Linked DNA regions of Schizosaccharomyces pombe. Changing the gene in region 2 together with the main gene of any one other region gives a genetic interaction. Each region holds a gene or a part of one and is shown on either strand. Other genes may lie near its edges.

Region 1 (8,137 bases), on a different chromosome or scaffold from region 2:
ACCAAGAAATTGCAAAGCAACATCTTTGAACGCAAAAGTAGGACCATGGAAGAGCTCAAGTACATTGAGACCGTTCTTTAATGATTTTAGAGGAGTAGTCTCTGGGTGGCGGAAGGTAGAGTAAGAGCGATCAACCAATTTTTTCAATTCATCAGCTGAAATTTCAGAGCGAGGAATGTACAAAGACATTACCTCAAAGGCAATTTCAGGGAAGGATTTGTCCTTCCAAGCCTCAATCCATCCGCTAGGTAGCTGAGGGATTTCTGATGGAATAAACAATCCTCCATCATTAGCCAAACCCTTAAGCTATACAGTAATGGCAATTAGTAAACCGAGTTATAAGTAAGACGCATTTGTGACATACCACAGCCTCTTCAAAAGAAAAATTTGAAGATCCACCACGAGTCGATAAATAACTAACTTGGCTAGACATTTCGCTATTTCCCAAAACAGAACGTTGCTTGTTCTTGGTAAATAAAATCCGCCATTTTTCAGAGAACCTTGCAATCTTTCGTGTTATCAACAGTTTACAAAATTGAGTGTACCAACGTAAATATTTTAAAGATAGTATCGTTAATTTTCACTATAGTAGCTCTTTGAGTTGGTTTTTTTCGAATTTATTATTTTCTGAACCCGTGGCTATTGCTCACTACACTACTCCATTTTACGGTATGCTTCGCTACATTTTTTGTTCTTAAGTTTTATATTTGTCACCCAAAACGGAAATGTATTCGTAATTTTTAATATATCCTAAAATGAAAATATTATAAATTGAATCAAATTTCCTGCGTTTCATATTTCAATTATCAGCTATCAGCTGGTAATTGTACATTAAGTCCAACCTGACTATCGATATATATATAATTGCATATCGTTAAATTGTCATGAAAAGAAAATAGTAAAATCCCAAGTTGAGACTTACCGCAAAGTAACACATCGTTATCTTGGTTAGCAATTGCGTAGTTAACAAAAACGTAAACAAACAAGAGTATGAGTATGCCAAATTACTCTACATTGCTGAAATCGTTTTAATCTTGGCAATAATCTGGTACATCGACTTTCATATAGTAATACGTTGTTTAAAAAGATTAAGATGCTGAAGTGGTAATCTTGGAAAGGCTTCTGTTGTGGTCTCGTTGCAAGATAAAAATAAAATAAAATCTACAATGTAACAAGGTAAGTAGTCATCTTACGTTTAAATGAAGATGAAGATAAGGCAATTAAAATATGTAAAAGATAGGCGTTAAAAGACGTTTCGATTGATGACAACCTAATCAAATCGGTATAACATGATGAAAAATGTAAACTTGGTTCAGTGGCCCAAACATTTAAAACAATAGGCAGCAGCCGTAAAAAATAAATGAGGTAGATCAACAGGACGAATTAGATGGTGCTTGATTGCTCGTTGCAAATTGATAAAAGGATTCGCGAGAAACATTGGAAAATGGCCCCAAGAAAAAGCAAAGGCATTACTTTTTGAAATGTTAAGGAAATTGCAATGAAAAAAGAGACGTTGAAAAAAAAAACATGGGAATTGATTATATTCCAAAATGTAAACTCGATCTAATCACAACAACTCGAAAGCATATCAAAAGTTGATTGAAGCTATTAGGCATAAATTTTACGTTATGAAAGCATTAAAAAGTAAGAGAAAGTGTACAATATAGAGAAATATTATAAACTTCCCAACCGGGTAGAGTTGAAAAGAGTAAGGAAACAAAGTAGCAATCCGGAAACGATAACCAACACAAGATATAAAAAGCAATGCCAATCTCCACTCCTTCAAGCTCTCCACACACTTCACGACTATATACGTATCGGCGGTGCTAATATCAAAAACTAGCGAAAAAGAAAATGTGACAAGATAATAATAAGGAGCCTAACAACACCTCTTCACCGTACGATCGTTTCCGAGGTCAACGTTATTTGCCTGGTTGGAAAATTCGTTTTCTGCATCAATCTTTTGTTTTTTTATTTCCCGGGCAAGGGTAAAAAATGCCTCATCTACATTGACGTTCGTCTTCGCACTAGCTTCTAAAAATTTAACGCCCAGCTCATCGGCTAACGCTTGTCCCTGTTCAAAGGAGACCTGACGCTGATCCTCACAATCACATTTATTTCCAATAAGGATTTTATAAACATTTTCACTAGCATGTTGTTCAACGTTACTAAACCAAGTTCGGACGTTATCAAATGATTTTTTATCAGTTACATCGTATAACAATAAAATACCCATTGCACCACGATAATAAGCAGTGGTAATGGTACGGAAACGTTCCTGGCCAGCAGTGTCCCAAATTTGGAGTTTGATACGTTTTCCATCTAGTTCAATCGTGCGAATCTTGAAATCAATTCCAATCGTTGTGATAAAAGAAGGGGTAAACGAGTCTTCCGAAAATCTCAGAAGAAGACATGATTTTCCCACACCTGAATCTCCTATGAGAAGTAATTTGATTAAATAATCGTAGGATTTTGTAGACATGGAGGAGTGTTGCTTTTGCCAGGTGGTAAGTGGTAGAATCTACTGGAGTCCCTTGAGATAATGCCGCAAAAATACACTTAAATTTATTAATTCAAGTAATGTTATTGTATAAATGGTACTAGTTTTATTTAAGTCTTTGTTTGTGTTTTTTTATGTTGAAAAAACATGACTTTCAACTTTTTTATGTACGTTTCCTAAGGGCAATAAACTCGAAGTTTTGATAAAGGAAGTCACTATTCTAGGGCACATACATACACTCTTGAGAAAGTAACAAAGATATTCACAAGAGAAATAATTCAGATTTCATGTCAGAGAAAAATCTCTGTCACTAAACAATTTACTAGCCATGGATTAATTTATACGATTTGAATGACTGGTAATATGACTAATATAGTACTGCATTGATCAATTTAATCAATGTTTATATGACTGTCATTGACCTAAACATACTTATAATTAACGCTTTAAGTGTTTTGGTTTAGATTTTTCCTTTTTATTTTTGATAATATAGTAAATGGATGGGGGAGAAACAATGAACTTAACGTTAATTCATATGATCATCATTTTAGGCTTTGTCATTGTTGTTCGAGTTGAAACAATAAACCGTTTAAACCAGCATAAACTATAAAATGTTCTACGATTAGGAGTTGGACTGTCTGAAAATAAATAACTTTTAAATTTTTCGAGGTTATGAGTATTCAATAGAGATTGAAATTAATAATTTCTACAATAAAACAAAATAACAAATTATTTCATTTTATCCATTGATATATTTGGTTAGACTACAATTCGATCTTACTTTTTTAATAATATTTTCATTTTTTTAATTCTTTTATGTTTATTAATTCGAATAAATGATGGAAGCCATTTGTCATAACACCTTAATTTAAGTATAAAAAATATTTTTCTCATGTTTTATTTTTAAAAGCATTCAAACATCATACACTTATTTTATTTATTTTTTATTATTGACAATTCAAATACTTGATTTTTGGCTAATAGTGATTTACAGTACTTGAGGTCTTATTGTCGATTACGTAACTCGTAAAACTTCAAGTTGGCTATTCGATTGCTAACCAAAATGCACTAATACGCCAAGTTCAACAAGTAAATTAAAGATCACAAGAAATACTCATAGCAGTTAAACGTATCGTTAAAGCATCTTATATAGCTGCGCATTTTGGAAAAGACTATCTTATTTATCATATCTGTTGGTGCTCTGCAAAATCAATTCATATTGCTACAAGGGTTCAATTATTCATACAGGAAGTTACGCGATTAAGCAGCCTTAGTGACTGCAGTCATATTCTGCTATTAGTGTTTCGTTTGTATGTGGTATTCATACTAGAAAGAGATATGGTTTTTCGGCCTTATCTTCTCTGCATAATATTGCTTACTAACTGTTAAGGTTTTCCAATTGCTGAATTACGATAATTACAGTTACCAAGGTTGCTGAAAGTATTTGAAACAATTTACGATTTATTATGAATTCAATTCTTTTTTACAGAATAAGAAAAACATTGGGCCCATATTACAATTTGGAATCACTTCAAACAACTATTGTTACGCATAAACGAGAGTGAAAGCTACAAACAAAATGATGGCTGATGAAAGTTTTGACTTGGAGAGTTTGGGTTCGGATGAAATATTTGAAGGCGTGAATTTAGATGAATTAGAGCAACAAGCTCAAACCCAGGTTCAAGCTCAAAGTTCTCAAGTAGTTGTACCGAGTGAAAAGCAAAAGCAAAATTTAAATCTTCCAAATTCATACACCAATTCTTCTCAAAAAGTCCGGGAATCTACCGTAAACTCACAAGCCTCATTATCCTCTAATGACCTTCGAACAGAACTTTTAATTAAGTCGGGAGAAAATGCAATTCTTCGTGCTAACCTTCTAAAACAATCCGAAGCTAATAATGCCGCCCTAGAATCGTTAAATAATTCTATAAAGCAAAAGCAAGATGAATACCAACGGAAATTAGAGGAGCTTAAAAAAGAAATTGAATACGCAAAAACGAAATCCCTATTTCATGAGCGTGAAGCACAGGATGCTATCGAAACTATGAAAAAAATGAAAAGAGATGTAAAGAATTCTCCGATTATGAAAAAATCCCATGAAGAAGATGGTGACAATAAATTGTTATCTTCTTCTGATCAGCTTGCTAAGAGCACAAAGCATGCTGCAAAAAACAGCCCTTCTAAAAAGAAGCGCAAAACAAGTGTTGCTACTGCTGAAGATGCTTCAACGGATAGTGTGAGTTCTAGTATTGCTATATCAGATGCAAGTTTGTCTTTGAGCCTGATGAAAGATTTACTTTCTCTACAAAAAAGAGAAGATTTGTATTTTGTAAGTATTTTTAAACTGTCGTGTTAAATTTTATTCCCTTTTCTTACTTTTCTAGTCTTCTAGAACTTTAGCATACGTATTTGGTGGTTGTATGCATTCATTAGAAACAATTGAAGGAGAGGAGGAAGGTGAATGTTTGTTTAATAACTTGAAAGCTCTAATATACAGTCCCGATCTATCTATGGATTCCTCCAATTATGTACAATCTGTCGTTCAAACATCATCGTCGATTTTAAATTATTCAATGAAAAAATTATTATATAATGCCTCCTTTGCTATAACATCTTTGTTTAATGCATTATTAATTTTGGACCCTAAATCATCCACCTTTATCTTTCAGGAAAATGTCGTTTCTTTAATAAGTGGTTTTCTTCTTAAGGAATACGAAAAAAGCAATTTTTTGGACTCAAAGTTTTACGTTTTAATAGATTTTCTTTATTTATACTTATCTATAGCACGTGAAAGTGCTGATGACTTTGCAAACATTACTAAAGCGGTTGATCCGTCGTTATTCGAATCCTGCATTCGAGTGCAAAATGCTCCTTCTTTGATTAAATGTGGTGTTTGTTTAATTATTAGTTCCACCACTCCTTCGTTTTGCGCTTCAGTTAACTTGTTAAATGCCGATGATAAATCCCAAGAATCACTCATGCAACTTTTCACAACTATGGCCCATATTTTAGTTGTTACTACTAGGGAAAGGATTAATTTTCCTGAATTGGTACGTTTACGAATTGTGCTTATAATCTTTGCATTGCTTATTTCTAACAAATTAGAATGAATGGATAACGCTTCATCGCTTTGTCATATCCTTTTTTACCGTGTTTATACAAATGTCTGGAAACATTGGTAAAGAGATTTTAAAAGTATGCAATCCCTTAATAGTATGCATCGGACTAGCCATCACTTGGTATCATCAGCAACTCCTTTCGTCAATGTACCCTCAAAATGAATGCGTAGAGATTTTAGTATCTCTTGTTCGGCTTCTGTACATTTTATCTTCCGAAGATTTATCATCAAAATTTATGTTAGCTGAAAATGCGTTACAACCTCGTTTCGTTTATGCAATAGCATGCTGCGCATTCGGCGATACTGAACAAAAAGCGTTTGGCAATTTGGGTGAGGAAATGTATTTTCTCACTACAGAATTGTTGGAAGTTTGCGTCTCTCCCGAAGAGCTGGAGCAGTTGTACACTAATTTTTAGATAATGAAACAGATGAATCTATTTCCCTAATTTTTCAAATGAAATAATGATACTTGTTTCTTCAGTGTTGTTCTTTCCCGTCCCGCACCCACATCCTCGCAAATTAAATACAAATCAATCTGTTTCCCCAAAGGAATGCGTACCACAAAAACATCCCCATTCCGTTCTTTTAGTAAAACTTACGGCTATATTTACCTGCAAATAAAATCATCTAGCAATTAACGAAAATGAATATATTAAAGTACCACTAACATAAAGAATCATCACTATGTAAATTCAATAAAATGCATTTGAAAGTTCAAATATCAAAACCGTTTTGATTCATAATAAAGAAAATCCGTCATAGAAGAGTTTCAAGAAAAACTGTAAACATTCATAACATAAAGAGAAAAATCCAATAATTCTCTTCACTAGAGTTTTTCTTCATTCTTTATCCATTGAATGCATATTTTTTTATTTTTTTTACAAAAAATATTTGCGTCTGATTTCCTTAAATGGGAGAATCCATTCCCAGGTTGATGTGAACAGCTTTTGTTTGAGTATAATTGGTAAGACCGTAAGAGCCCAATTCGCGACCGATGCCACTCTCCTTATAACCACCAAAGGGAATTTGGTGATGAAGTAAGTTATAACAATTCACCCAAACAGTACCGGCTTCAAGAGCATTGCTGACCTTGATGGCATTGGTAATATTGTTAGTGTGTACACCAGCAGCTAAACCATATGTACTGTTGTTACCGCGACGGATGGCCTCCTCGATGGTCTTGAATTTAATGACGGCAAGAACGGGTCCAAAAATTTCCTCCTTACCGACAGCCATGTCCTCGGTAACGTTGGAGAGAATAGTAGGTTCGACAAAGTAACCGAGATTACCATGACGCTTACCACCAATCTCTAATTTGGCACCATGAGCAATGCCACTCTCAATATAACTAACAATACGTTCATACTGTTGCTTACTAACTTGAGCACCTTGGAAGGTATCTTCGGCGAAAGGATCACCAACCTTCAAAGTCTTGGCCTTGGCAACCATGCGTTTAATGAACTCATCGTAAACATCCTCTTGCACGTAGACACGGCTACCTGCACAACAGACTTGACCAGAGTTGTAAAAGATACCATAGTTAGTCCAGACAGCAGCTGAGTCCAAATCGGCATCGTTGAAAACAATATTGGGAGACTTACCACCCAATTCAAGAGTGACCTTCTTCAGGTTGGAGGAGGCGGCAGCACGCATAACCATACGACCGACACCGGTAGAACCGGTAAAGGCCACCTTATCAATGTCCATGTGAGAACTAATAGCGTTACCACAACGGCGACCATCACCGCTGAGAACATTGATGACACCTGGAGGGAAGCCACATTCAGGAACAAACTTGGTAAGACACAGAGCGGAAAGAGGAGTGAGTTCGGCAGTCTTCAAAATAATAGTATTACCACAAGCGACGGCAGGAGCAATTTTCCAAGCGCACATCAAGAAAGGGAAATTCCAGGGGATGATTTGACCACATACACCAATGGGTTCGTGACGAGTATAGGCAAAACGCTTAATGTCGGTTTCAATGGTTTGACCATAATCCTTATCGGCCCAACCACCATAATAACGGAAACAATCGGCAGCAGCTTGAACGTCACCTCTAGCCAAAGTGATACTCTTACCATTGTCAAGAGTCTCAATAGAAGCGAGGTATTCCAAGTTTTGCTCGATACAGTCAGCGAGACGGGAGAGGCAACGTCCACGTTGAGCGCTGGAAAACTTGCGCCATGGAGCATCGGTCTGGAAAGCGGCACGAGCAACTTTCACGGCGATATCGACATCCTCTTCGTCGGCGTCAGCTACCTCACAAATAAGTTTCTCAGTAGAAGGAGAGTAAACCTTCACACGACCACCGTGAACGGAATCGACATGTTGGTTATTGATAAAGAGACCGACAGGTTGAATGTAAGTTTTTCCTGTAGGAACGGTAATTTCGACGTGATCAACGAGTTTTGTAGACATTTTGAAAAGTTTGTATTAAAAAATTGAGAAAAGGGGTCGTTGTCGTAAATGAGTAAGAGTAATTAAAAAATTAACTAGAAAAAAAAAAAAACCAAAGATAA
Region 2 (6,173 bases):
CTGCTGCTGCTGCACAGAAAAAGAAAGAAGAAGAAGAACGTCGTGCTGCTGAAGAAGCTGCTGCTAAAGCCTCTGCTGCTGCTGCTAACAAAAAGGCTAAGGAGGATAAAAAGAAGGCCCAAAAGCGTGATAAAAAGGTTGTCAAGAACGCTCTCAAAGACTTCAACTATTTTAGTGCAACTGACGTTCCTTCAGCTGAGCATGTTGACAGTGTGTTAAAAGACGTTGATGTTATCATGTCCAAGTTAGGTGAAGGAGAACTTGGACAATTAGCTGCTGACATCAATGCTGAGAAAGCTGCCGGTGCTGCTTCTGTCCAAGCTGTTTTTGACAAATTTGCCAAAATGTTTATTGAACGTGGATCCATGTCATCAGCCGACGTTGTTTTCTTTGCTCAGTAAGTTCATAACAAAAAAGGTATTGGGTTTAGCGTGAGTTTAGAAATCAAATTTGGTGCCATCTTTGTTTACCCACTTTCATTTATACATCTTGAAATGTGTGTTTTTTTTGATACCATAGAATAAAATATTTACCATTCCTTTCTTCTATTATTTGCTATGCTCAGTAATGTATTTTAAAGATTTTAGATTCTTTGAAGTTCTGAAACTTCTATCAATATGCTGATCATTCTATGAGAACTTCAGAGTATCGGGTTTAATTAGCCGGAATTGCTCGAAAATAATTCATTAAATTTTTTTTCATTTATTTTGTAGTGCTCTGATACCCTGTCGTAATTTTGGATTTTCAAAGCACAAGAATAAGCCGTAATCAAATCCATGTCTTTTTTAAATTATTCTGCAAGTATAATCGAGTTGTGAAATTGCCGTCTAATATACTTATAAAATCATTTTTGTCATTCTTTGCTGAATAGAACGAGTCTACCAATACTGCATTCCAGTGTACTCTACGAATATCTTCTTGGACGAAAATATATATATGTGTATGTATAACAAAGCATGCAACGAATCTATACTAGTTTGAGTATTACACAAACCTGCATTCTCTAAAATCGTTTTGCATTACTGAAACGAACGAAATTAGGAATAAAAATTTTGCATAATGAATGATGGTTTCGCGGACGATGAATTGTCCCTTCCCAAAGGTAAAAGAATTGCAATCCATATTTACTAATAATGTGTAGCCACCGTTCAGAAAATGGTTTCCGACATACTTCCAGTGGACTTGACTTTTACGAAGGAAGCTAGAGATTTACTGATAGAGTGCTGTGTGGAGTTCATACATCTTGTTTCTAGTGAAGCTAATGAAATATGCGAAAAGGAGGCAAAAAAAACTATAGCCGCTGAACACATTATTAAAGCTTTAGAGAATTTGGAATTCAAGGAATATATTGCTGAAGCTTTGGAAGTGGCGGCAGAGCATAAAGAACAACAAAAGAATCGTGAGAAGAAAAGTAGCAAATTTGAACAATCCGGTGTATCAAGAGATGAGTTATTGAGACAACAAGAAGAGCTATTAAGCCGAGCCCGTGAGCGTTTTAAAAATCAAAATATTGCTCACGATAATCATACGACAACCGCCATTCCTGTTCCTACCGCATCAGAGACCGAAACAAAAGAAAATTGAGCTAGATGTATTTATGGATATTAAAAATCCGGAATTTGTTTAGAATTTGCTTCTATGGCAAATTATCGTTCATGTCTTAAAGTTACTCTGAAAACTAATCAAGTACATACTGTATCTTTCTTTGAGTTATCACTATTTTTGTCTTCATTTATTTAGAGTTTTTATGATGTGAAATTCATGTATTCAGATTTAATGCTATTCCAAATCTTACATTGCATAATGCGCTATTAAAATTAGCAAAGAAATTGATATCAAAAATCAAAGATTAACAATGTATTGAACGATCATATATCTTTTGATGTCAAAACGCTTATATGGGTATTCATTTTATAAGTATAGTATAGCATTGCTGAAGTATAAGAAGAATATTTACGAATGTGTTTGCAGTATAAGATCTCTCCTCTAATTAAATTACTTTTTTAAAAAAGAGAAATAATAATCTAAAAACTCAATCGTCTCGTGGGGGCTGGATACCCAAACAGTGGTAGCAGCAGCTCTCTTTGAATAGGTGGTTAGTAATCTTCAACAAAAGTTTATTTCAAACTTACCGCTTTATAATCATTGTTACCAGCTGACAAGAATTGATCACCAACATGCAGACAGCGAGAAGGATGGGAAATATTAAAAAAATGCTGAAGGCATAAAACACCCAATTTCTTGTCACCAATATCACACCAAATATCATTTCCACCATTGAAAGCAGTAAAAGGAACTGAGAAATTTCGTATCTGCAACGTTGCTTGTGTCTCCAAAACAGCTTCCTCCAGTTGCTCCCTTCTCAGTTTTTGACCAAGGGAAGGTACAAATCCAACTGATCTTTCTTTACGAACTATTTTTGCATCAATGTTAAGTCCTTGAATGCAAGAACGAAGAGTTTCTTCAGCAGTATCCAAAATTTCGAGAATCTCATCATGAGGCCATGTTTTCATCACGGGAAGCATCCATGAGTCAGCATCCACCCATTGTAAACCATGCAGTGGGTCATAAGCAAATAAGTAATTGCTCTCGCCTCCTAATACATGAAGTTTCCGTTTCTGCCCATCCTTCAAGTCGCTGTCTTCGATTGCCTGCAATAATCCTGAAAATCTATCAGTATACTCCTGGCCAGTACGACTGGGATAGCCAGCAGCAGTAAGAATGATGACATAGATCCCCCTCGAAAGTAACTGAATCAAACGGGATATAACAGGATTGTCAGGAAGCAAAGGCTGCCCATCTTCGTACAGAGTTACATCTCCATCAAAACTGACCATATCCAAGCCATTATCCGCAAGGTAATTCAATTGAGCACCTCCTAATATTGCCCTGACATCGTTAAAACTCGGTGCCACAAAGCTTCGTTTAGCTAGACAAAGCTTTGGTTCCAACGCGTACATAGCTTTCACTAATGGCAAAGGTGTCCAAAATATGGTGATCGATGGAACAAGCATCTTTAACTGGCTATAGGATCCACCTTCTGAAACTATTTGAACTATCAATGAGAAAGGTTAGAAAATTAAAAGAATGAAGGGGAAACTTACTATGAGCCTCAATAAGTTTTTCCACATCTCTTAAAATTACAGCGTAACGCTCAAGCGTTTCCTGCTCTTTTTCGCGCGTTACTAGTTTCTGTGAAGGGGTTCCTGCCTGTAAAACAAAAGGAACTGACAACAAACCTTTAATCCATTCAATAAAATCGTCCTTCCGATGTTGCTTTAACGCATACTCAACACGATATCTAGAAGCCATTGCCTAAACCTTTAATGACAAACACTTATTCAAAAAAAGAAATCTACACGAATGCAAGAAATTTGAAGGAAAGTATGTTAATTGAAAGAGAAAGGGTAAAAGTTGCTTTATTATGCTTTCCGAAACGATTCAAAAATGATTACGTTGAGAATTGTTATACTAGTATTAGCAGCGAGCACTATCACTCAAATACGTCTATCACAATTCCAAAAATTAGCTATAATTTATGAGCATTCTTAACAAAATTTTATAAAAGTATATAGTCCAGGTGTAACATGAGCCTTCTGAACTATTCTTCCTCTACACATTTCTAATCCGCGTTAAATAAGGAATTTTCTTTCATTAGTAAATTATAAACCTTTCTTGCTGCGCAGTTAAATTTGAAAGGTTCTATTCGCTTTTCATTAGCAGTAAAGTCAATAGTACATAGAAAAATTGCTAGATTAACAGAACTTTTGAAGCGAAACAGCAAGCAAATCGATATTTATTGCATTCACTAACTCTCTTTTGCGAAACATACAAGCAAATATATATTTTAAAAAAACACCATAAGAAATGTCTACAGCTGCTTCTGATTCAGGTGTTGAAAAACTCGTCGAGGAAAACAAAAGGGAAGAGGTGAAAAAGAATGAAGAAGAAAAAGAATTTGATTTAGGGTTAGAAGAAAATCCAGATTCTGTAAAAAAACCTCGCAAACGGTTGGCAAAATTTGATGAAGAAAGGTAAGAATTTGGTCGGTTTTCGGAAAATAATTATTGACCACTCGTTTTCCCTATTTAGATTGATTTCTGAAAATGGAATTCCAAAATTAAGGAAAATGATGCGCAAAGTTAAGTTAAAAGGAAAGGGTCATGAGGCAAAAGACTTAAAACAACTATTGGGAATGTATCATATATGGACTCATGAGTTATATCCAAGAGCCACGTTTGATGACTCAATATCGTATCTTAAAACTCTAGGAAAACACAGATCCGTCAAGGTTCGACGTCGTGGTTGGATTAATGAAATTGCTGTTGAAAATGGTTCGGACTCTAATGCTTCATTATTTACTGGTCCATCTTCCAATTCATTAGTGAATTTGACGAGCGGAGATCCATATGTTCAAGATACAGCTGATGATGCTTTTGTCGCCCAAGACAACGATACCCAATTAGAATAGTCACCATTAATGAATGATTGAGATGTTGTTGCAGCTTTGTTTATCAATATTAGTAATCATGATCATTTTTTGGGACTATTTTCAGCTACTTTTATTTGATGTAATGTTTAATTTATTCATTTTGTTTTATTTAAACGAACAATTGTAGCCTCTAACTCCGAAATTCAATAAACTATAGAACATCTAGACAAATGATTTCCATTCTACGAATTGACCAGTAAGCTTTGGATTGTTATTCAAGGCTAGAAAAGAAAGAGCTTTGGCGATGTCCTGAGGAGCCACAAGTTGACCGGATGTTTTAAGTTCTTTGAAAAAATTATGAGTATCTCCACCCATGGCTTCTTTATTGGAATCATTACGGATACTAACTTGCATAGGGGTATCAACAACTCCCGGACGTACTGCCACACTCATTATATCAGGCTCCTCGCTGCCAAGGTTCATGACTAGCATGTTGATGGCGGCCTTTGAGCAACAATATGCAGCCCACGCGGGAAAAACACGAACAGCAGCGCCAGAGGATACAATCACAATAGTACCCTTGGTTTTACGCAAATGCGGGATTGCATACTTCACTGTTTCAACCACACTGAAAAAGTTGATATCAAACAACTTACGCCATTCATTGATATCTGCATCAGCGATTTTGGCTATAGGTTCAAGGACACCTGCATTTAGAATAACCGAGTCCAATTTTCCAAACTTTTTAATAGCAGTTTCGATACTAGCTTTTCCAACCTCCGTAACGTCACCCTTCACGTGAACAAATGAGTCAGGATTTTGAATAAGCAAAGTTTCTAGTTCTGGGGTCAAGGACCTACTAACAGCAATAACCTTGGCCTTCTTCTGTAGAGCTTCTGCAGTAGCCAATCCAATACCCTTAGAGGATCCAGTCAACAAAATAACTTTTTCAGCGGTTTCGGCCATAATGCTTTTATAGAAATTTATAGAAATGTAGGGTGTGAATTACTTTAGTGTAAAGCCAGATTGTGGAACTGAGGAAATATGTTAGCTATGCTATGATTTATATCATGATGCCAAGATAACGAGGTTCCGTATAATCACAATAAAGTAACCGATATAATCTTAATTTTGCTTATTTATTCACGAAAGGAATTGTTATATGGTATTAAAAAACGAAAGTAATGAAGTGCAAATACAAAACAAGCTTGCCATTCCCTTTATTTTTGTTAATGGTCAAACATTACTAAAACAGAAAAAATAAATATGAGTATGAAAACAACATACTTTATTGTATTAATAGAGCTTGATGCAGTAATTTCAAAAAATTACCGAGGAAACTTTTTTTCAGTAAATTGTCTGTTTGTATTAATTTCAGTTGTCTTTCGAATTTTCAAAGAATAGGTATCGTTGGATTGCTTTTCAGCTTGAACGACGTTCCTTCTAAGGATTTCCGCAACAGCATTACCATTTTGGATTTCTTTTTTTGCTTCTTCTGGAGAACAGCACCGATGATTGTGAAAACCAGTTCTGATTTTATCCCTTGCAGCTGCGAGAATCATTGGGTCCCCTAAGTATCATCTGTGAATAAAAAAAAACATACTTGTTGATAGAGGTTAACCCACTTACCTTCAAAAACCGAATTGGATGCTCGCCAAAGATTACGAAAGCATTGTTTAGCAGCTGACATTACTAACGTTCTAAATTCTTTAAAAAATATTTTTAAAAACAAGAAAAAACG
Region 3 (9,200 bases), on a different chromosome or scaffold from region 2:
AAACAAAAGCCGAAAAGCGTTGAAATTAAAAAAAAAAAGCCGCAATCGTCGGAACCGAAAGGCGGAGTATTTAAGACCCTCTGTATTTCAATATTCTTACTATATTTTTGGCTCTTAATAAAAGCAGCCAAAAGACTATAACCTTTAAGTGAGAGTGTCGGTTTTAGCAAACGTCCCTTTTTGAAAAGTAAAACAAATTCTGTACGAATCTCGGATACTTTTTTAAATTTGTACTGAAAGGGAAGATTTCGAGAAGAAGACTCTTTGTTGATCAGTAAGCAAGGCTGAAGAAGCGATCCAGACGAAGGCGTAGCTGAAGGCTTGATTTAAAGCTGCATTGTAAACGAGACAGTTACCAGTGAATGTTGTTTACTTGACGAAAAGGGACTATGAATCTAATCTGCTCCATTCTGCCGAAAAAAGAACCTTCCTACCTTAAATTATGGCGAAAGCAAGTTATATACCAGGTATTAACGGACAGATTTGCTTTGGATGAGGATAATTTTTATGCAAAAGCTAGCGGAAATCTTTACCTTGGGGGTACATGGAAGGGTATTACTCGTAACCTTGATTACATTAAAAGTCTGGGATGTACGGCAATATGGATTAGCCCAATAGTTAAAAACATATCTGAGACTACGGATTGTGGTCAGGCATATCATGGGTATTGGGCACAAGATATGACTCAGTTAAACGAGAATTTTGGGACAGAAGAAGATTTGAAAGAACTAGTCAATGCAATTCATGAGAAAAATATGCTTTGCATGGTTGACATAGTTGTCAACCATATGGGTCATGCCGGAAGCAAACCCGTAAACTTCTTACTTTATCAACCATTTAACTCTGGGAAGTATTATCACAACTGGCAGTTTGTACAAAATTACGATGATCCCCATGAGACAATTACAGGTTGGTTAGGAGATTCACATGTGAACCTACCAGACATTCGAACCGAAAAGAATGAAGTTCGCAAATTTTTTCAAAATTGGGTTTCTGATCTAATTAAACGTTATCAATTTGATGGTATCAGATTGGACACAGCCAAACATGTCGAAAAATCCTTCTTCCCAACATTTATTGAAGCAGCTAATGTATTTACTACAGGAGAAGTTTTTCATGGAGATCCTAAAGTCGTCGGGGATTATCAAAAATATCTCCCTTCGACTTTAAATTTCCCTTTATTTTTTCAATTGCGGGAAACCTTTCTTGACCCCAAACATTCTATGTTTTCATTTTATGATAAGGCCGTACTTGATGTTCGACATTACTTCAAAGATGTTACCGTCTTGTGTAACTTTTTGGAAAATCATGATTTTCCTCGCTTTTTTCATGAAACCAAAGACATCGCCGTAAGTCTATTGAACAATATTTCAATTTAGTACCTGCATTTTTTATATATTTTAACATTTATTTAGCTGGCTCTTAACGCATTAACTGCACTTATTTTCATGGACGGTATTCCAATTATCTATTATGGACAAGAACAGATGTTTGACGGTGGTAGCGATCCTGACAACAGAGAAGGTCTTTGGAAAAGTAAATACAATACTTCCAATCCAATGTTTAGACATCTTTCTTCAATGATACGCACGCGTCAAAATTTGGTTGAGACCTACCCAGAGTTTACATACGTGCTATCTTTTCAACTATACATTGACGATTCAGTTTATGTATTTACTCGTCCAGGAGTCATTATAGCCATAAGCAATGAAGGCTCTACCTCGTCGTTTAAAGTTGAAATAGATTTGAAAGAACACTGGAAAGAAGTGCCTTCAAGTTTTACAGATATTCTTACTCAGAAAACCATCCCCTGTAAAGACCATAAACTGAAGATCAAATCAAAAAGTGGCTTGCCAAAGGTAAGCATTTAGTTCATGTTTTATTCTACTAACAATTTTTAAGATCCTAATTTCCTCTGACCCTAGCTTCCTATAGAGAAATTACACTAGAGTTTCTCCAGTTTAATTACACTCCAAAAATACTTGGCAACACGTGATCGCCAAATGGAGAAAGTTTTTTTTTAATTTTTTAGCTTAAAAAATTCCTTTGAGCTTTTATGCCAGTTGAAGTGCTCAGTTTCTGTCATATGAAATTTAATAGTTTCATTTTAATTATTGAAATCCAGAATATATGTCATCTCGTCTTAGATAGATGAGCGATGCAACAATTATGACAAATATCTTGAATTTCGAAGAAGATTTTACGAAAGAAATTGAGACTGATAACTTTTTAACCAAGCTTTATGTACTTGTATTTATCAGTGCCATGTTGCGACAGCTTGTGACTTATAATTATAAATCAAAAGATTTTTTTTGTATTACTCACAAATGCATAATACAGTCCTAGAACCAAACTTCCAAATTTGCAATGATCCATAAAGTGTAAGATAATAACTCAGAGCAAAAAGGCAATAATACGTTTAACATAAACTTTGTATTTCCTCAAGGAGGGCTTGAACTTTTTGGTAAGAATTGAGTGATTCCCTATGTTCTACACTTCTGCATAATCGGAAAAGTTCTGAAGATGCCCATCTTTTGACATCGATAACCAAGTCTCCATCAATAAACGGGACTGGAGAAATGAGGTCTGCTTCTATACTTTCGTAGTCCATAGATGACAAGTATGAAAATTTTAATTTTCGAATTTTTCTTGTAAGTTCCTCCAGTTCTAGCTCCTTATCTTTTAATGATACTATACTCCCAATAGCACCAATTTCCGTTGCAAAAAGCATTTTTGGCTCTAAAAACGAATTGGTATTTGTTATTGGGAAATTTTGAAATTTGCTAACTTTATCATGCAGATGGTACACACTTTCACAAATGAATCTGTCATTAAAGTTTTTTGCATCTTTGTTATAACGAAGAAGTTTTAGCAAGCCACTATTAGTTGCTATTATATAAACTGTTCCTTCATATAATGCTGCTTTCACAATGTTTTCTCCAAAAAGGTATCTGGCAACGACAATAAACTTTTGGCCATCGAAGTACATAATCGTAAAACGTCCAATACTGTCCGCTATAGCAATCTCGTTACCCTCTACGATGAGTTGTAAAACTATAGAACCTAGTGATATCCTAGAATCTATCATAAGCCTTTCCTCGGTAAGTTTAACGATTGCAACTTGTTGCCCAAATGCAACGATGTATCGATCATTATATACCCCCAGATCTATCACGGCCGCAGATAGTACCATAGACGAAACTACCTTCAAAGACTGAAGCTCCTTTTCAAACTCTAACAAAATTAATCTTCCATTTACCGGCACCAACTTATCTTGTTCTATAATGCTTGTTCCTACAAGTAAAGAACTCTCATTAATCTTCAAAACTTTCTCACAACGTTCATTTTCGGTAAAAGAAAAAACCCTGAACGAATTATCATCATAACTATCGACCAACTCCAAGTGATAATTTTCCTTGTAACTTTCGTAATCTTCATATCTATTCTCGAGTGTTCTAAGCAACAGTTTATTTTGAAAAATAATGGCTTGTAACGGAACATGCTCCAAAAGTACTTTTCTTGGGGTCAATTCTGGCAATGGATTAAGTTGAAGGAATTTCAAGCCCCCTAATGATACAGAAATGAGAAAATCCTTCCCTGAGTTATCACGAAACTGACACACATCATAACTTTGAGGCATACTAAGCGGCATATAACATAGTGCTCCATTAAACCCATATACCATGTGTGGACAGTCATTGTTGCATATGATATAGGTACCAATATTCATCGTAAATCTCCTAAACGATACAGGGGTTGTACCGAAATGTTTTGTTTCAGAGAATACCAGATTATTTTTGAAAAGTACATAAGATTTAAATTCACCACTTCCGCTAGAAACTAAAAGAAGATTTCTGTCAACACCAACTCCTTCTAAAATAATATTTCTGGGCAATGATGGAACGTTGGTTTGAAAGGCGCAGCTAATTGACGAATTATCTGAGAATGTAAGTATCATCACCTGCTTAGACCAAAATCCAACTCCTATTTGAAATTGCGCTGAAAAATCAAGGCAAGAAATTTCACTTTCAAAAACTTTTCGTGCAACTTCTGTATCTTTTTTAAATATTGCCAATGCTGTTCCATTGATAACGATTGCGGAGTATTCTTGATAGCAAGCAGCGTTCGTGATTTTTTCAATATAAACTAAACGAGAGCGCTTTGCAGAATCGTAGATACAAAGAAAAGTAGATGTGACTTGTACAAACTCACCATTCGTCCCTGAAAGCGCAATCGTCCTTTCTTTGGTTGATAGAGATGGGTCTAGCTCTAACTGGAAATCTTCTTTGATATTAAAAGCAACAGTTTCACTAGGAAACCCGAGGAAGAGCTTATGCTCTGGATATGATGGTAGGACCATAGCTCGAAGGATGCCCGAGATTTTCGTCTGCCCTAAAATATCTAATTTCAGAGCATGTTGAAAATAAATTAAAGAAGCGTTTCTTGGTGTTCCTGCGCATACAAGGAAACTTTTTTCAATGTCGTTTTTGAGTACTAGTAAATCATGAATGGGTCCTAAGTTGGGTATTGAGTCAACATCCTTCAAAGTAGACAGGTTAATAAGTTTAGATTCCGAATTTTTGCTTCCGATAAACAAGAGTCCCTCATGGATGGAATTTAGAGAAGTAATAAAGTCGAAAGGTGGGATTGGTAGTCTTTCCATAACCAAGCTCCATTTGTTTTTTCCCAAGATACTCGAATATACTCCGAAAAGATATCCATTAGTATCACAAACAATATAATGCATCTTTTGCCCTTTCAAAGGAGTCCAATGCATATAAGTAGTACAAGGACCATTGATTGTAACAAAATTACCGCGATACATGCAATGAATAAACAAACTCTCAAAAACCAGCAAACCTCTTTTTCCAAAGGGCATGATCATTGACGGTTTAACCCGCTCAAATAGTCTAATCCCCTTTCCCAAACTTTTTGAGCTTAAATCTAAAAGAAAAGCTGTTACATAACAATCTAAGCCATCGCTGTGAAGGACCACAAGAGTTGGGGTACTGGAATCATTGAGAATGCACATATCATATATGAGATGCACTGGAAAAGAAAAAGGAAATCCGCTATCTATAGAACGGCCAGTTTTCAACCGTTCTTCGGCAGAAAGGATTCTAATACATATCATGGAAATTTCGTCAATGCTTAAAAAAATAGCACGCATCCTTAAGTCGACAAGGCAGTAGCTTTTCGCGTTGCGATTCCAAGGAAATGTAACTCGATAGCGAACTGGAGGATGGTCGACGATCACTTTTTGATAATCCTCGTCCCAATAAATCGAAAAATAAGTATCATCATTGAGAACTACAAATAAATAGTCTCTATCTAATCCTGGAGGGCGATATGGGCGTATATGTTTCACCGTAGAAAATAAAGGGATAGAGGTAAAGAATTGTAAGCCATGAACCTCACTACAGAGATAAATATTAATTTTTAAGGCTTGTAATAAAACTAAGCAGTTTTCAGATGATATAAAATGACATGAAGTCGCTGTGTCTACCGCCGTTGCCCAGAAGGAATGAACACATAAAGCCATACACGATGAAATCCATAAACTGATATAATAAAAGGAATAAAGACTTTTTTTAACAAAGAAAAAAATAAAAAAAAGAAGCTTTGAGTTGGTTCAAAAGATTATGACTAGACTTATGTGATTAAAAAACAGTTGAATACAAAAATAAAGAGTGGACGGCCAAGAGCCACAAAAGCCTAGAAAAAGGAATTCAAGATAGAAAAAATATGCTACCAAGTGACAATCTCTATCAAATCCTTACCAAAAAATTTCGATTTTGAATGAAAGTGCAAGACGCCAGTTACAGGCACTCCGCAGGGAGAAGAAACGAGATATGCAGTCTCTATACATTTTGCGCAAGCGAATTTATTGTAAAAGTTGATATGCATTTTTTAATATCAGATACTACACAAAACATTTTCTGATAATCATAAAACATAAGACATTTTCAACTTGCATCTTAACTAAGCCAAATTCTACATCAATGTTATAAATTTTAGCATTAGCCATATTGGGGGAAATCGAAAGCTATTGATATTTTTATAATTGCAAAACGATTTGATAATGTAGAGAAGATATTGGAATATGTTACTCTCATCGATGAGCAGAATTAAAAGCTATGGGAGATAACGACTATTGCTATTGAAAACAAGAACTAGGCACGCAAAGAAATATATACCTTCTTTACTATAGTGCATGGTATTAGAGTTACTTAAAAGATTATTTTAACAACTTGCCGATCACGAGGTGATTCACAGATTTATAGCATAAATGAAAACCTACGGATGTCTAGCAATAAAGTTAGGATTTTACTGAAATTCGAGTCGACAACTAAAACATAATATTTTTGTAGCATCGCTTTGAATGATTGAGCATGTAAATATTTAGATATAATTGAAAGCATAGAAATTATCATAAATGATTTTCTTTAGATGCTGAAAGTAATAGCGTTTTTTCTATACCAGTTTAGTGTTCGCGTCATCCATAAATACCGAAGTAAAATCAAGCTTAATATAAGCGAGATTTACGAAGGTTGGACTAAAGATTAGTTTCTCGTAGAAATGGTCATGAACTTTTGAAAGGTCTCTTAAACATAAAATAGTTTTTTAAAAAACTTTCTATATTACTTTTTACCAAATCCAATTACTGCTTTCATCAGTACTCCTTTTTTTTTAAAATGGAAGCGTTTTGACATATTTCGTTCATGATACGCTCAACTATTAGGAACATAGTAAATTATACTACAAATTCACTATCTATACAATGATAAGTATCGTTGAACGTTACATATTGGAAATCAACAGTCAAGCATTGTTTACTGATCACCGAGGAAGAATTTCATGATTATCCTCAGATGTACTCAGTCAAGAATATGATATTAAAATTATTCTCAATATTTAGCTTTAATTAAATATAAGCTATTTAATAAACCAATTTATATGTAAATACCATTCAAATCACCTACATAAATATCTATAGGAACATATCTGTAGATCAGTATCCAAAACGCCGTATAATGTCAGCTACGCAGTTTGGTATCTGCTTTAACGATACGAAAAACTGGTGAATTTTGCATATGATCCATTATATTATAATAGCCGGGTTATATAAGTAATGACTAAGTACTGGTATTGTACTATTTAGGTTATAATGTCACCTATCACTTATAACTGAACTGCGAAATGAGGTTTAGTTGTATCTCTATCGATTCTATCCAAATAATCTATCTGTTAATATAGTATTATCAATATCAATCTCGACATCGCATCATCTACGTTGCGTATCACTATATGTCACATGTTCTAATTATATATCGTACCATGTATGATACGATATTGAGATTGATCTTAATGATAATCTATTAAGATCTATATTATCTGAATAATATAAATAGAGCTACTGCTGAACCTCGTTCCTCAGTTCAGTTATGAGCTATATTAGTGATAGGTAACATTATAACTCAGTTAATACAATACCTATACTCAGTTGCTACTTATACAACCTGTGTATTGTAATATAATAGATCACAAGGAAAACTCACCGCAGTTCTACGTATCCTTAAATCAGATACCAAATTGCGTAGCTTACAATTTAATACAAAAAGGCATTGCCCGTTATTTGATTTTGTTGGATATCCTTAAAGTATGGAAAAGATGTTGCTACTAAGCAAGAGCGTCTAGCATCTGCGAATATGGTGGAATCGGATTCTTCGGGAATCGTTCGACATTCTCAAGGAGAATTTGACATCGTCCAGGTTTACAAAAAATTTTTGCAAGATGATCCAGAAATCACGATGCCTGTAGCCGCCATTGAGGCTTTAGTCCAGCTTTTGTCGCGCTCTCAAGGTATGTTAATTTGTAGTACTCATGTGAGAAATGAATTTACTGATGTTTTTCTATTAGCCAAGACAATTTCAGAATTTATGGACATTTTACAAAATGGCTCAAATACGCTGAAGGAAGGCGTTCAAAACAACATTTCGCTTTCAGCTGGTTGTGACATTTTCCAACGGTTTGTCACTCGATCACTACACGATGTCGGGGTATGTGTTGATGCAAAGTAGTTTTCTTTTCTTTACTAATTCTCCACGGCTTTAGGATTTTGAGCAATGCAAACGTCACTTGGTAGAAAATGGAAAACTCTTTATTCAGCGTGCTCGTGCTTGTCGACAAAGAATTGCACATTTAGGTTACCCTCTTATTCGAGATGGTAGTGTTATTCTTACCCATGGGTTTTCACGCGGTGTTGCGGCTGTTCTTTTGGCTGCTGCCAAGCGTCACGTTCGTTTCAAAGTTTTTGTCACAGAATCAAGACCTAGCGGCTCAGGCTGTCTAATGACGAGAACATTAAAAAATGCTTGTATTCCTACTTGCATGGTTTTGGATTCCGCTGTAAGCTTTACTATGAACCGTGTAGATTTGGTCTTGGTTGGCGCAGAAGGTGTTGTCGAAAACGGAGGACTCATTAATCAAATCGGTACTTTCCAACTTGCCGTTTTTGCCAAACATGCACATAAGCCCTTTTACGCAGTTGCAGAAAGGTACGTAAACGTTGAATCCATTCAGCTTACAATTATTTTTCCCTATGATCTCTCCATTTCCCTGTTAATTTTAAAATTTGTACTAACGTTTTTTAGTCATAAATTCGTGCGTATGTTTCCCCTTTCTCAATATGATATTCCCTTTAGTCGTCCTATTCTGGAATTTGATGATCCATCTCCTGAAACTGTTCATCCTGAACCTGAACCAATTCCAACTCCATCAGATGCTATTCATAACGAGCTGATCATGAATGAAGAACAAATTCGAAATAATCCTACTTTGGATGTTACACCACCCGAATTTGTCTCAGGTCTCATTACCGATTTAGGGATCATTGATTCGAAGAGTGGGGTAAGCGAAGAGCTAATTAAATTGTATCTTTAGCAATCAGATTCTCCTGATCTTAAAAATAAAATATGAATAGATTGTACTTTGAGTTGACTTAAATTTCTCATAAGTCTTGTCCAACTAGATTCGGATTGAAAGTAATCTTCAAAAATACAACAGTAATACATTTTCCGATCATGCTAATTGACTGTACGACGTAACATTTTCTATGTTATTTTGTAGTATTACAATATTATTTTTGTTTCAATGCGCCCACTAGTGAAATTTTATTATTAGTTCAACAAAATTTATCT

What was found.
Region 1: mutations in swi3 (region 2) and rad26 impair growth when combined (synthetic growth defect), as found in Schizosaccharomyces pombe (3 studies listed by BioGRID, with this or other methods).
Region 3: mutations in swi3 (region 2) and rik1 impair growth when combined (synthetic growth defect), as found in Schizosaccharomyces pombe (2 studies listed by BioGRID, with this or other methods).

The regions. Positions count from the first base shown.
Region 1 is NC_003424.3:4,447,036-4,455,172, forward strand, and holds rad26 (ATR checkpoint kinase regulatory subunit Rad26), read left to right. Parts: upstream 1-3,569; 5' UTR 3,570-3,810; intron 3,811-3,890; 5' UTR 3,891-4,079; coding exon 4,080-4,829; exon of another isoform or gene 4,830-4,884; coding exon 4,885-5,550; intron 5,551-5,605; coding exon 5,606-6,034; 3' UTR 6,035-6,334; downstream 6,335-8,137. Other genes in the region: SPOM_SPAC9E9.06C (threonine synthase), read right to left, coding at 1-306, 365-433; GTPase Ypt2, read right to left, coding at 1,880-2,482; atd1 (aldehyde dehydrogenase), read right to left, coding at 6,525-8,036.
Region 2 is NC_003423.3:3,089,222-3,095,394, reverse strand, and holds swi3 (replication fork protection complex subunit Swi3), read left to right. Parts: upstream 1-3,538; 5' UTR 3,539-3,867; coding exon 3,868-4,034; exon of another isoform or gene 4,035-4,092; coding exon 4,093-4,471; 3' UTR 4,472-4,536; downstream 4,537-6,173. Other genes in the region: zuo1 (zuotin), read left to right, coding at 1-401; ncb2 (transcription corepressor), read left to right, coding at 1,060-1,102, 1,142-1,584; isn1 (IMP 5'-nucleotidase), read right to left, coding at 1,996-2,082, 2,133-3,055, 3,105-3,312; SPOM_SPBC30D10.05C (sepiapterin reductase), read right to left, coding at 4,655-5,398; chaperone protein Mzm1, read right to left, coding at 5,761-6,002, 6,062-6,122. UniProt on the Schizosaccharomyces pombe protein: Forms a fork protection complex (FPC) with swi1. FPC coordinates leading and lagging strand synthesis and moves with the replication fork. It is required for programmed fork-pausing which is necessary for mating-type switching.
Region 3 is NC_003421.2:1,464,516-1,473,715, reverse strand, and holds rik1 (CLRC ubiquitin ligase complex WD repeat protein Rik1), read right to left. Parts: upstream 5,835-9,200; 5' UTR 5,543-5,834; coding exon 2,420-5,542; 3' UTR 1,936-2,419; coding exon of another isoform or gene 1,903-1,935; 3' UTR 1,860-1,902; downstream 1-1,859. Other genes in the region: SPOM_SPCC11E10.09C (alpha-amylase-like protein), read left to right, coding at 390-1,349, 1,416-1,859, 1,903-1,935; translation initiation factor eIF2B alpha subunit Gcn3, read left to right, coding at 7,710-7,863, 7,921-8,060, 8,116-8,558, 8,655-8,943. UniProt on the Schizosaccharomyces pombe protein: Component of the Clr4 methyltransferase complex (ClrC) which contributes to the establishment of heterochromatin by specifically methylating histone H3 to form H3K9me.